2 linked regions of the Caenorhabditis elegans genome follow. The protein of the gene in region 2 purifies or fractionates together with the protein of the main gene of each other region. This does not show direct contact. Each region holds a gene or a part of one and is shown on either strand. Other genes may lie near its edges. The genes, in order: cht-3 and F56A8.9.

Region 1 (7,832 bases), on a different chromosome or scaffold from region 2:
GTGATTAGCTGGTGAGTTTGGGAATGAACGAATTATATTTTGATTTACTCGACGTGTGAATTTTTTTGTAATTTTTTGTATTTTGATTTACTCGACGTGTGAATTTTAAATTTTGGAAAAAAGGAGGGGGGCACGTTCACGACAATAAAATGGTTTTTTCTCACAAATTATAATTTTGTTATGGCTTCCCTCTACCATTCACTTCTAATGAAAGAAAAATCTCTTTATATTATATTTTTTGATTTTGTTAAAGCCTTTAACAAAGTTTCACACAGTCTCTTAGGAAAACTTGCCAAGTTCGGTCTTGACTAGCTTGTTTCTGGTTCAAGGAATTCCTCGATCACAGAATATTCACCGTCAAAATCAACAAATTTGTTAATTTGTCCAAGTTAAATGAACTTCCTCTAGCACCAACTAAGTCTACATTATTATCACTGGGAACTTTGAACAAAAACCATTCATATTTTGTAAATGGTGTCCCAATTCCCCCTTCCCCGCTTTTTCCCTTTTTTTTCGTAAAAAAAAATTTGGTCGTGTGGGAGAGTTGAACTCATCCATTATCGATATCAAACGAAATAAAATAATTATTTATCAAAATTGTGAAGTTTCAGAAATTAACGACACTTATGGGAACTATAAACAGATTTCAGAATTGGGAATGATCCACGCCCACAGATTCCAGTATAGTCATCTCCATTTACATTCAATGCAATACCGCCGAGCTGTTCACGTTGGATGTAACCAATCTGAAAATTTGAATACTTGAATAAAAAATCCTAGAAATTTGATAGAATTTCCAGAATTTCTAGAAAAATTATTATATGTACTGTATTTGTAGAGATTTCAGCTATAATATAATGTGGCTTTTGTTAAACTTTTAATAATACAACATGACAGAATATCATAATGGAACCTTTCAAAAGATTTTAGACTTACGATTAGCAAATTTTTCCGTCAAATTGTTGGAAAATTATCAGATTTTCAAAAACAATCACATTTTGAGAAATTTTGAAAAAAATTACTGTTTCAAAAAGTTTACAAAAAATTTTTGAAAATTTTTGATTATTGTACATCCATTATTCCAAATTTTGGAAGTTTATCTTATTAAATTTTGTCGGTAAAGGCACATTAAAAGCCGATAGGTAACCAAAAATCATCAAAATTGGTTACCTATCGGCTTCAAATGTACTGTAATAAACGAAATTAAATGATATAGACTACCAAAATATGCAATAAAGAACAATAATTCAAAAAAAGGGCAACTTCGGACCGCGATATGGAAAAGTGGGTAAAAACGAGATTTTACCTAATAGCAGTGTAACTTTTTCAAATTTTGAACTGCCACAAAAAATTTTTGATATTATTTTTTGAGAAGTTTCATTACGAAATTTGTTCTTTTGAGCCCATGTTGAGTCTATTCAAAATCGTCCGAACCGTTAGTCCCCCTTTAAACAAAACAGTAATTTATTCTACTTTCGTGAAAATGTGAAACTTTATTTTTTTAAGTGGGGTCTCGCCAGATCTCAAAATCAGTCATCACGGGAGCTATAAATGCCAAAAAAGAAACTTACTTTGTATCTAAAATCTTCAATCATTGGCATGTTGATAGTTCCATTTTCATGTTTGGTCATTCCTGTCAATGTTTCATAATCATGTTCGTAGACAGCTCTATTCCCAGCAGTTACACAATTAACTCCTTGTGTCATTTTCTTCTTCTCCCCCACTTTCTTTCCAGTCTGCCAACCAAATGGCGAGAGTTCCAAAACTAGCTTATCCGGTTTCAGTCCCACATTCTTCCAAATATTCACAAATTTCTCAGTTGACGGGAACTCAGGCTTTGTGTGATTGAAGAAGAATGGAAGATCAACGGAATGTTTATCAGTCATTCTTAATGCAATGTGAGACAGACGATTCAATAGAGATACACTGTAGTACGTTGACGGCTTTTGTGTGTAATGGGAAAATCTGAAATAATGGGATATATAGCTTTTTAAAAACCTCTATGAAAAGGTTGCCTTGCTGAAAGTGTCCTGTTACACCCATTGGAAGCCTTGCCGCTTTCAAACTTCTGTGCCAATTTTTTGACGAATGTGTTGAAGTAAATCTGAATAGATTCATAGGTAATTTATTCTTAAACCTAATAAATTACATGGTTTCCTCTGCGAATCACTTTTTCACAATCCAATTGTACTCCAGAAAATTTGTACTTTTCCATAATATTCATCACGTTGCCAATTGCAAATGTCATGTTGTCTACAATATGGAAAAATTGGTTATGGGCTTAATTTCGAAGTTAACAAAAATCAAATGCTTTTCAATAAAAATCATGTACGAGTTAACTTTTGGATTTTCAGACACCCAACCGCATCAAGATTTTTCAGATTTTGTTTCATTTTCAAAAACTTCAGAATCCTCGGCCACCTTAAAATCTCTCAAAGTCGTAATAGGTTTGCAAAAAATAAAAAAAATCGAATATTGGAAGTATGCACTGAAAAAGCTTTCAGGAATATGTTTAAGAGCTTTTCTTCCAGGTAACATGATCTTAATTTGTAATTTACAAATTGTAAAATGAAACTCACCACCAAGAATTGAATTCAAATATTTCTCAGAATCACCGCATGATAGTGAAAGCACCATTCCACATTTAACCATTTTTGACCTCAATGATGTCTAAAACTCATTATAGACTACAAGGCAGGTGCGAAAACTTACCAAATTCTTAACAACTTGTTCTTGTTGAACATCATTGAAATTCACATTTCCACCTAAAGTGAGTGTTGCCTGCTCAACGACAACTTCCGTGCAACGCTCGTATGGGACAATGTCCGTTTTGAAAACAGCTGAAAAATATTAAATTTTTCAAAAATAAAATTTTCTGTTTCAAATTTCACACATCAGAAAATCCAAAAAAAAGCTTACGAGTGCTCCTCTTCAATTCAAAATTGCAGCTAACCACGAAATCGTGTTGTTCACACTTTTTGAAGTCATGCTGTTTCAGGCAAGTCTGACAAACTTGAGCACGAGAAAGAGCATTTAAAATGGGGAATGCAGTACGGTTATCACAAACTGCACTCGGATCGTCCTGGTGCATGTTGTGAAGAGCAAGTCCTCCAACACCTTCCATTGATGCCCATACTGCTTTGATGTGAGCACTACGAGTATTCTCATATGCTACCATTTGATCGTATCGTCTGAAGTTATTGCATTTTGTGATAATTCACATTTTGGTCCTGGTAGTAACTTGAACCACTGGAAATTGACTTGCTAAATCATTTTCCGTATTTATACTTAAATATAAATTTAAAAATATTATTTTGTTAAATTGAGATAGAAATACGAAACTAATTTCCAGTTTTTCTCATGTCATTAAATTGGCTTAAACTTTTTCGCTTTGTACACTGGGGAAGTTTATTTGAAATAATTTAGAATAAAATTCTCAAAGGGCTCAGTTCACCATAAATCCCAAAATATTACTTACCTCAAATATGGTACTTCAGCTCCATCAACCCAATGAGTGACACCAGTTCCAGACTTCAGGCTTTCACAGATCTCCTGCTGACTATGAATATCTCCTTTTTTCGATCTCAACATTGACACAAAAGCTGATTGTCCAAATGGAGTTGCAGCTGAGCTTCTCACATCAGCAAGTGATTGCATGGATAAAGTGGATGCACTCAGAGACAATACAAGTTTTGAAGGGAGTACACGTTTTTCGACCCAGTGAGAGAGCAACGATTCCCAACTCATTTTTTGATTAGTCATTGATGAAGTGGCACGAAGAGGTGAAGGATGTCCTGTGAATGGAAGAGAATCCGAGTGAAGACGATGAGAGTGAAGGACAATTAGTGATGCAGTTCTAAAATTTTTGAATTAAAATAAATATTATATTAAAGTAAACCAACTTGTTCAAATGCTCATAATCATAAAAGTCCGAATAAGCGCTCTGTTGTGAAGTTGCCACAACGATCTCCACCATCTTTGCTGTGTCCGCTGCGACGATATCATTGATAAATGATTTCAAATTCTTCTTATCAAAATCGCTGACCATTGGTTGAGAAGTCCACGAAATCTCAAGCCCATCTGCGTTTGTTGAATTGATTGCTTTAACAAGACCTTCAGCAAGTTCTTTTCTATGAAAATCGTTTCCAAGGAGGAATTGCCATATTGTTGAGGCTTGTTTTGATCCGACAGAAAGAATAAGCTGAAATAGTTTTCCTTTGAAATCTGAAAACGGTTTCAAAGAGTTCTTACCCTCGGTGCCACTTCAACTATTTTGCTTCTCCAATCATCAATTTTCTTCACCAGATCTTCGGCTTTATCCTCTTCAATCATTTTGTCGGAGAGATCAAGGGCGAAGTATGGAACAACAATATGACTACAGTAGTCAGATTTCAGATTATCAATTGGGAATGTTTCCTCAACCTCCTCCGGATCCAAATAGCAGAGTCTTGTACATTTGGCTGGATTCGCAGGAATAGTATTACGAATTAGTTCCATGACAAGACGATGAGCTGGCAACGGATCTGTACCACAGTCTCCACGTGGATCATCGAAGAGGGCGTGGCTAATACCAATTCCAGCAAACTTTTGACCCAATATCCATTTCATCTGGAATTCAATAGGTTTCATGAGCTAAAGCATAAGTTGCAACGACCTTTTCTCCCATAGCCTTAATTGTTGGTAGATTAACACTCATCCACGTCTGACGGTACACGGTAATTTCATTCATAGTCTGCCAATCATAAATGACAGCTCCTCTAGCTCTACAAGCATCTTGATAAGAAACTCGTTTTCCATTATTCTCAGCATATTGTCCATGAGAGATTTTTAATGGATCTTGAGTCTCTTTGATTTCAAATTTCCATCCTCCAGCAGTCAGTCCAACTACGATACGTGAAGGGAGAATTCCTTCTTTTGACAACCTTAAATTTTTATTGTTACGACAATAGGTGTTTTATACACAAAACGAGTAAAAACCTTCGTTATTAAAAATGTTTTAGAATTTTAAACATTTTTTGAAAATTTTTTGCAGAATTTTGTAACTTTCTTTCAACATTTTGAAAGCATCGGATGGTAAAAAAAATAAATGAAAAGATAATAATAACATAAGAAACAGTAAAATTAAAAAAAAAACATTTTCCAAAATTATGAATTGCAAAAAATGAGGAAGTGGCTATGTTTGACAATAACTTAAACACAAATCAAAGTGAAAAAGTTTTACTGTGATATTTGGAATTTTTCAAAAGACAGACTTTGAAAATTCCGTATTGGATCTAATTCACCTATATATTTTGACTTACTCTTCGACAGTTCCTTGAATTGTTTCCTCAAACGGAATTGATCCATTATAGAAAAGTGGATTTATGTGTGTGACTCTGGCAAGTTCCTCGTTTGACTAAAAATAACTCCAGTCAACCATTTTTTAAACTGAAAATACTTACTGGCAATTCTCCCATATCCAAATAGATATACTCAACGAGATCATTGATTTCTTGAAGTCGTCTTAATGCATCAAATGCAAAAACTCTTCTTCCTGTGACTCCAAATGTTAACGACATCTTTTTGTCTTTTGAAATCGTTTCAAGAAAACTCGTTGAGGCTCGATACTCAAGGTGAATGCCGTTGAAAGTTACAAATAAACCATCGAATCTTCTGGAAAATAAATTTTAGTTTTGATAAAGCTGTGATGACCAATTTCCCAAAATTCTCAAACTCACTTGCTCTTCACATGAGATCGGAGCCCGTTTGCAACCTTCACCGATGTAGCCGCGTCTTCAAACGGTTTTGTTCTAACAACTCCCATCAAGAGTTTGGCATTTGGATGATATTTTCTCAATCTCATGAAAGTTCGAATATTGTCAATATCATATCCAGACTCAACATCGGATACACTGTACTGTGGATATCCAGTGTCTCGATCAATTGGAATACTTCCATACACTAAATGGGTGCACGTTGTGATGTTTTGAAGAAGATTTGGGGAGAGACGAGTTTTCTGCAATTTGGAGCCTTTTACAATTATCAAAACTATTAAACCAATATTTAGTAAAAAATATTTTTTAATTGAAACTCTGATTGACATTGCTTGTTTGATAACATTTATGGCTGCTTACCGGTGGAGGATTGACAAAACAATAATGAACAGGAGCATCTTCATCACTTATCTCACAGTATATGCCTACTACAAGTATTGACAGCCAAATGAGGGTTTTTATACCCATCTCTAAAAAGAAGAAAGATTATAAAAACACAATAAGAAGGTGAAAAACTCTGAGGAAAAATGACAGAAGCATGCTGATTCTATCTCTTTTATATACGATTTTTCGTGCCCAGATTCAACCAGAAAAAAGAGCTGACCTGCAGATAAAAAAAGCGATTCGGGAATGATAAAGTGGGCGGAAGATCCAAAAGCCTCGCATACCACATGTTATTGGTTTTTAGGTGATTGATTTGAAATTTCGTCGCTGAAACCGAGATTTGACTGGTTGTTGGCTCTCTGGGAAACAATTGCATGATGTAAGAAAATGTTTTATTTTTAAATAGAGATACGGATGCTTGTAGAAAGTTTTGTAGTTTTTTTAAATTTAAAGTTTGGTATCCATAAACTTCACGTTAAATCAGAATTAGAGAATAAATTCCAAATCAATTGACATATTTCCAACTTCTCAAGGTTTTTCGAGCCTGCAGTTGAAGAAAAACTGTCTTTGTTTTGAAATTTTAAAACATTTTAGCCTTCAAAGGTTAGAAATAATTGCTCCATTTTGGGTGCAACGGTAAATTTGATCACCTCACACCCCTGACAGGTACATTTCCACAAGATATCAAGGAATTTTACAGTTACGAAATTGTCTTTCACTTTTTTGTCAAAACCATTTCTAACTCTCCCTCGGTTTTCAATAAGATCTCAATGTTTCATAACCACCCACTTTTTCCCTTAACCTTCCGTTTTCAATTTTGATCTCCCTGGGGACCAATATTTCAGTATTCCGTATGTTGACAAACCCTTTTCCCTTCTTTTCTCCTGACAAGAAACACTTTTGTCCTCGTCCTTCTTGTAGTTGTCGCCGGCGTTTTTACTTTTTCTCGGGTGGGGATAGTGTCCCTAGACAGAAAATAATTCGTCATTTTTGCCGCCTCACAAGTTAGTTTTCTAACTGTCACACAAATCCTACAATATTTCATTTATTTGGGATATTGTTTTGAATAAGGCGACAAAGCAAAAAGATCCATTGGGAGTTTAACCTGATTTATAAAAGACAGTCGCCAAAAATTATTCGAAAGTTTTGATCTCAAGATGGGTAGATAAATTTTTGAAGTCCTACTGGGAGGCACCGCGGTGGTTTTGAAAATTTCAGAAGTTGTATCGACAAAAGCGGCACAGAGCATTTTTTAAAATAAAACTTTCCGTGATATTATCATAATTCTCGGAAATCTGAATGAGTGTTTTCATAAATATGAGCACTTTTTCGTTTCAGCAGAACTAAATTTTCATGTATTTCTCAATATCTCATATGATTTCATTTCTTTTCTTAATGTGACATGACATTACTGTCATCACCCAAACGAGTTATTTATGACGAGTTTGCAACATCTGCAGTTCTCACATAAATGAGTAAGGAATAGAGGGAAGAAACGGCTAATATGGGTTTTGAGGTTAAACATGTTGCCTTACAATCAATGATTTTTCTTCCGTTAATTTCAAGTATCAATTCACAATATGAATGTTTGTTTCAATATTGTTTTTTCTTGCACTTTTTTGCTCAACTTTGCTTTGTCAAATTTCACTTATTTTTGCCTGTTTCAACAAATCTTCAATTACGAATAAAAATACA
Region 2 (4,113 bases):
CTCATCATCTTCTTGCAAGTTTTTGAGCTCCGTCAGACTATATTTATGCGATGACATTGTAGTTTCACACAGAGAAATTCCCTAGAAATTTAAAAAATTGCGAAAAAAAATTTTTCGACACGCGGCATTGTTGGGATGGTAACGTAAAAGTGTGCATGTGAAAGAAGAGACGATAAAATATTAAAATAAATCTGGAGAAAGCTTTGAATAAAATGTATAACCTCTGAACTTGGGGAAAAAAAAGAAAATAGGAAGAAAAATCAGCAAACTAATTTGTGTGAATTTACGATAAACAACATGCGTATGCGGAATTTCGGAGCGTCGTTGTGGCATTTTGGAGGGAAGTTCAAATTTATGAATTGGTTTTGAAACAAATAAACCCAATAGGGCCCAAATTAATTTTCCAAATTGCAGTTTTGTAAGTAAAAATAATGGAATATTTTGATAGTTGATATAAACTATGGGTTGAAAACCATATTTTAAAAACTGAATTGAAAAAAAAAAACATCTTTATAATTATTATTAAATAGCACCTTGAAAATCGAATTGTACTCAACCTAAATAACTAAATATATGACAAATAAAATCAAAATATTATGGCCAAATTTGACGAGTTCGGTTATAAACAGGAAAAAAAAACACAAAAATTGAAGAAAAAAAAATTATAACTCTCCTTTCGGTTGCTTCTTCTCGGCTTTGTTCGATTTTTTCTCTTTTCTTTTCATTTCCTCAGCTTCTAAATCTTCTTTAACGCGATCCTTATCGTAGGAATTGAAAAATCTTTAAAAAAAACACATTTTTTGAGCCAAATCACGGTCTCAACACGACAAATTTGTTTCAATTGCGAAGAGTAGTACGCCTTTAAAGAGTACTGTAGTTCCTAACTTTCGTTTCAGCTGAATTTTCATAATTTTTTGATTAACAAATTCAAATTTAATATTAAAACACTATATTTCCAACGAATTGAAAGAAAACACTATGAAAATCGATTAAAAAAAAATCCCAGATAAAAAAGTTTGAGATTACAGTACTCTTTAAAGGCGCACACCTTTTCTCTTATAAGTCGTGTCGAGACCGGGTCCAGCCAAGAACTCTCATACTTTTCATTTTTCTCAATAAACTCGTGTTGTTGAGCCATTAGTTGCACTTTCTTTTCAGTTTCCTCATCAAAAATGCCAGTTTTGATAGAATAATTGTAGGCCCAGACGATCAAAGTCTTCAATTTCCGATCCTTTTGGATTTTCGTTTCGAAAAATTTCGAGAACGCTAGTGAGAGGTCTGTGAAGAAGGCGATGTTCTCGTGGAGCTGTAAAATGTATCATATTTGTGAGAAAATGTGTCTTTTCAAATTGAAGTTCAATCGCGCTTCAACGAAAAACTCCACCCCAATACTTGGGTCTCGTTAGGAAGTAGTATTTTTTCAAAAAAAAAAAAAAATCAAAACCATTTTTTTCAACTTCAAAAATATTTCCAACATCATTCCAACTAAAAAATTTCAATTCAAAAATCATTAGGCAAAAGTACGGTGGCAGGTCTCGACACGAAATTTTTTGTTAAATTCTAAACAAGTGTGCGCCTTTAAAGAGTGCTGTAATCTCAAAATTTTGTAGCAAAGAAAATTTTCATCGATTTTTCCTTGTTTTTCTCACGGTTTGTTAAAAATTGATAAAAGCTCCTTTTAAAGGAGCACACAATTTTTGGCAAAAATTGGTCGTTTCGAGACCGGCTACCGTACTTTTGGCGCCAAAATTGGCAAATTTCACGTCTGGGTAATATAAGTTTCAAAAACTCACCTTGGAAAGTGCATCCTTGAGCAGCTCACTACCGTGTGGGAACGGCGAATCCGATCGATGGGCGGTCCGTTCCAAAGCTTCTCGCGACTCTTTCAGCAGGTTTTGCACATTTTTCAAAACCTGAAGCACATTGAGATAAATTTGGTCACATTTAATAATACTCTTACATCTTCCAAAAACAATCTCCGCTTGTCTTTTCCAATTTTTTTAATCGACTCAATTGCGGTCGTATGCTCGATTCTCCGTTGTTTGAAGCTTTCGGTGACTGAAATAATCTAACGTTTTTTTAAATTGAATTAAAAAAAAACCAAAAAACTAACATAATTTCTTGTGATCAATATGCTCGGGCGCTTCTTTCGTTTTCAATTTAGCTGGATCCGAATGCGTTTCGCCTGTTTTCTCCTTGACATGATCGATTTTTGAGAGAACCGAGGAGACGACTGTCGTGAGGAGTAGGACGAGTTGGAAGGAACGACGCATTCTGGGTTGTGACCTTCAAAAAAAATGGAGAGAATTTAGGTTAGCAGGAAAACGGATAAGAACTTCTTCATTCAAACAACGAGAATTTGAATTCGTTAATAATTTTAGTTATTATAATAAAATGAACTAGAATAATATATTCTGCGACAGTAAAACTGAAATTTACAAAAATAAATTAGATTAATTCAAATAAAATAAACGTTTATGTTTATTCAAATATAACCTGTATTATTCAGATTTCAATACAATTCCAATAAGAAAACTGCAAAGGAAAACTCCAACTCTCCATTTCCCAATACATATCACCACTTTCCATCTCTGCGTCTCTACAGGGGGCAGTGTAAACAGAATATACAGTACAAATAAGAGAGTTAACTGTACAAAGATTTATCCTAGCTAATGGTAATCGTATATTAAGAGAACTAACTTTTTCCAAAAGAATACATTTTGCAAAATTTTCAAAAATTTTCTGAAATTTTTTTTTCAAAGAAACTACAGTAATCCTACAGTACTCCTACAGTGACCCCGACTCACTATCTCTCCAGATTCCAGACTTCACAGACTAAAATGAACTATAGACAAACGGATTGCGCGCTTTAATCTCATATTTGAATTCCCTCCAACACGAGAACTGCAAGACCAATCAGCGATTTTCTCGGCCTTCTCTTGAACCAATCAGATAGAGTGTGCAAAGATTGAAGACGCTGATTGGTTCAAATGTCTGCGGGGCTTCTGGTTTTGGAGGGAATTTGAGAAAAAAGGAGAATCACGATTATTTTACGATTCTTTTTCGTTTTCAAAATTGTTAAGAATAACAAAATTAGTTTGAAACTTTAAACAAGTGAACAAATTATTTGAGCGAACCGGCATATTGCCGGAATTGAAAATTTCCGGCAAATCGGCAAACCGGCATTTTGCCGATTTGCCGAATTCGTCGGCAAAAAAATTGCCGAAAATTTGGAACTTTTAAAATCATTTGAAAATTGTTTAGAACACCGTAGTTTATGATACAGAAAACAATGTAGAAACAGAAATGAACAGATTTTGAATCCAAAAAAAAAACAAACAAAAATCAAATTTCTTCAACTTCAGCCAATAACTGTTTCTTATTCGACTTCTCCTTCTTTCTATTACTCTTTATCATTTTCTGATTTGAAGCGATCCATGCAAGTTTTGCAATTCTCGTTCGTTTTTTTATTCGAGTTCTGTGTGGAACATCTCCTTTTTCAACGATATGAGCAACCACGTAGCGTTTCTAGAAATATTAATTTTTGAGTAATCTACCATTAATATGTAATGAATTATACCTTCCTTAACGCCAATTTTATTGAAGCAGGAATTGATGGAATAACACTGGATAATAGATACTTGAGACCAAATACGAGATTCTGAAATTATTTTACTACAAGTTTTGGAAGAGAAATATGGATTTTTACCTGGAAAACGATAACAATGATAAGTCGATTTTGAACAGTGCAATAAGCTCCATCGGCCAAAAATGTAGAGCAGAATCCAGAAGTGAAGGCAACTGATGTTAATCATAAGTTTTTGGAATTTTGAACTACGGTAACTTACCAATAAAAGCATTTGTGAATACTGCACAATATTGGAGAAAAGTGAGAATTGGAAGCCAAATTCCAATGCCTGGAAGTGCTGTGATTGGGGCCAGCAATGAGGTAGGAATAGGCTTAGGCTTAGGTTTAGGCTTAGGCTTAATCTTAGGCTTGGGCTTAGGCTAAGGCTTAGACTTAGGCTTAGTCTTTGGCTTAGGCCCAGGCTTAGGCTTAAGCTTAGGCTTAGGCTTAGGCTTAAACTTAGGCTTAGGTTAGGCTATTTAGGC

What was found.
Region 1: the proteins of F56A8.9 (region 2) and cht-3 fractionate together in Caenorhabditis elegans (co-fractionation; one large-scale study listed by BioGRID). This does not show direct contact.

Annotation. Positions count from the first base shown.
Region 1 is NC_003282.8:7,002,014-7,009,845, reverse strand, and holds cht-3 (Chitinase-like protein C25A8.4), read right to left. Parts: upstream 6,224-7,832; 5' UTR 6,222-6,223; coding exon 6,114-6,221; intron 5,996-6,113; coding exon 5,718-5,995; intron 5,653-5,717; coding exon 5,442-5,652; intron 5,396-5,441; coding exon 5,301-5,395; intron 4,923-5,300; coding exon 4,655-4,922; intron 4,609-4,654; coding exon 4,252-4,608; intron 4,202-4,251; coding exon 3,903-4,201; intron 3,857-3,902; coding exon 3,479-3,856; intron 3,192-3,478; coding exon 2,920-3,191; intron 2,841-2,919; coding exon 2,713-2,840; intron 2,671-2,712; coding exon 2,580-2,670; intron 2,254-2,579; coding exon 2,150-2,253; intron 2,105-2,149; coding exon 2,016-2,104; intron 1,966-2,015; coding exon 1,572-1,965; intron 1,088-1,571; exon of another isoform or gene 1,067-1,087; intron 747-1,066; coding exon 615-746; 3' UTR 578-614; downstream 1-577. UniProt on the Caenorhabditis elegans protein: Putative chitinase.
Region 2 is NC_003281.10:13,252,848-13,256,960, reverse strand, and holds F56A8.9 (CAB39 protein), read right to left. Parts: upstream 2,287-4,113; 5' UTR 2,274-2,286; coding exon 2,114-2,273; intron 2,059-2,113; coding exon 1,961-2,058; intron 1,914-1,960; coding exon 1,794-1,913; intron 1,307-1,793; coding exon 1,101-1,306; intron 781-1,100; coding exon 663-780; 3' UTR 502-662; downstream 1-501. Other genes in the region: F56A8.3 (Disease resistance R13L4/SHOC-2-like LRR domain-containing protein), read right to left, coding at 1-57; anoh-1 (Anoctamin), read right to left, coding at 3,346-3,528, 3,581-3,661, 3,710-3,801, 3,849-3,917.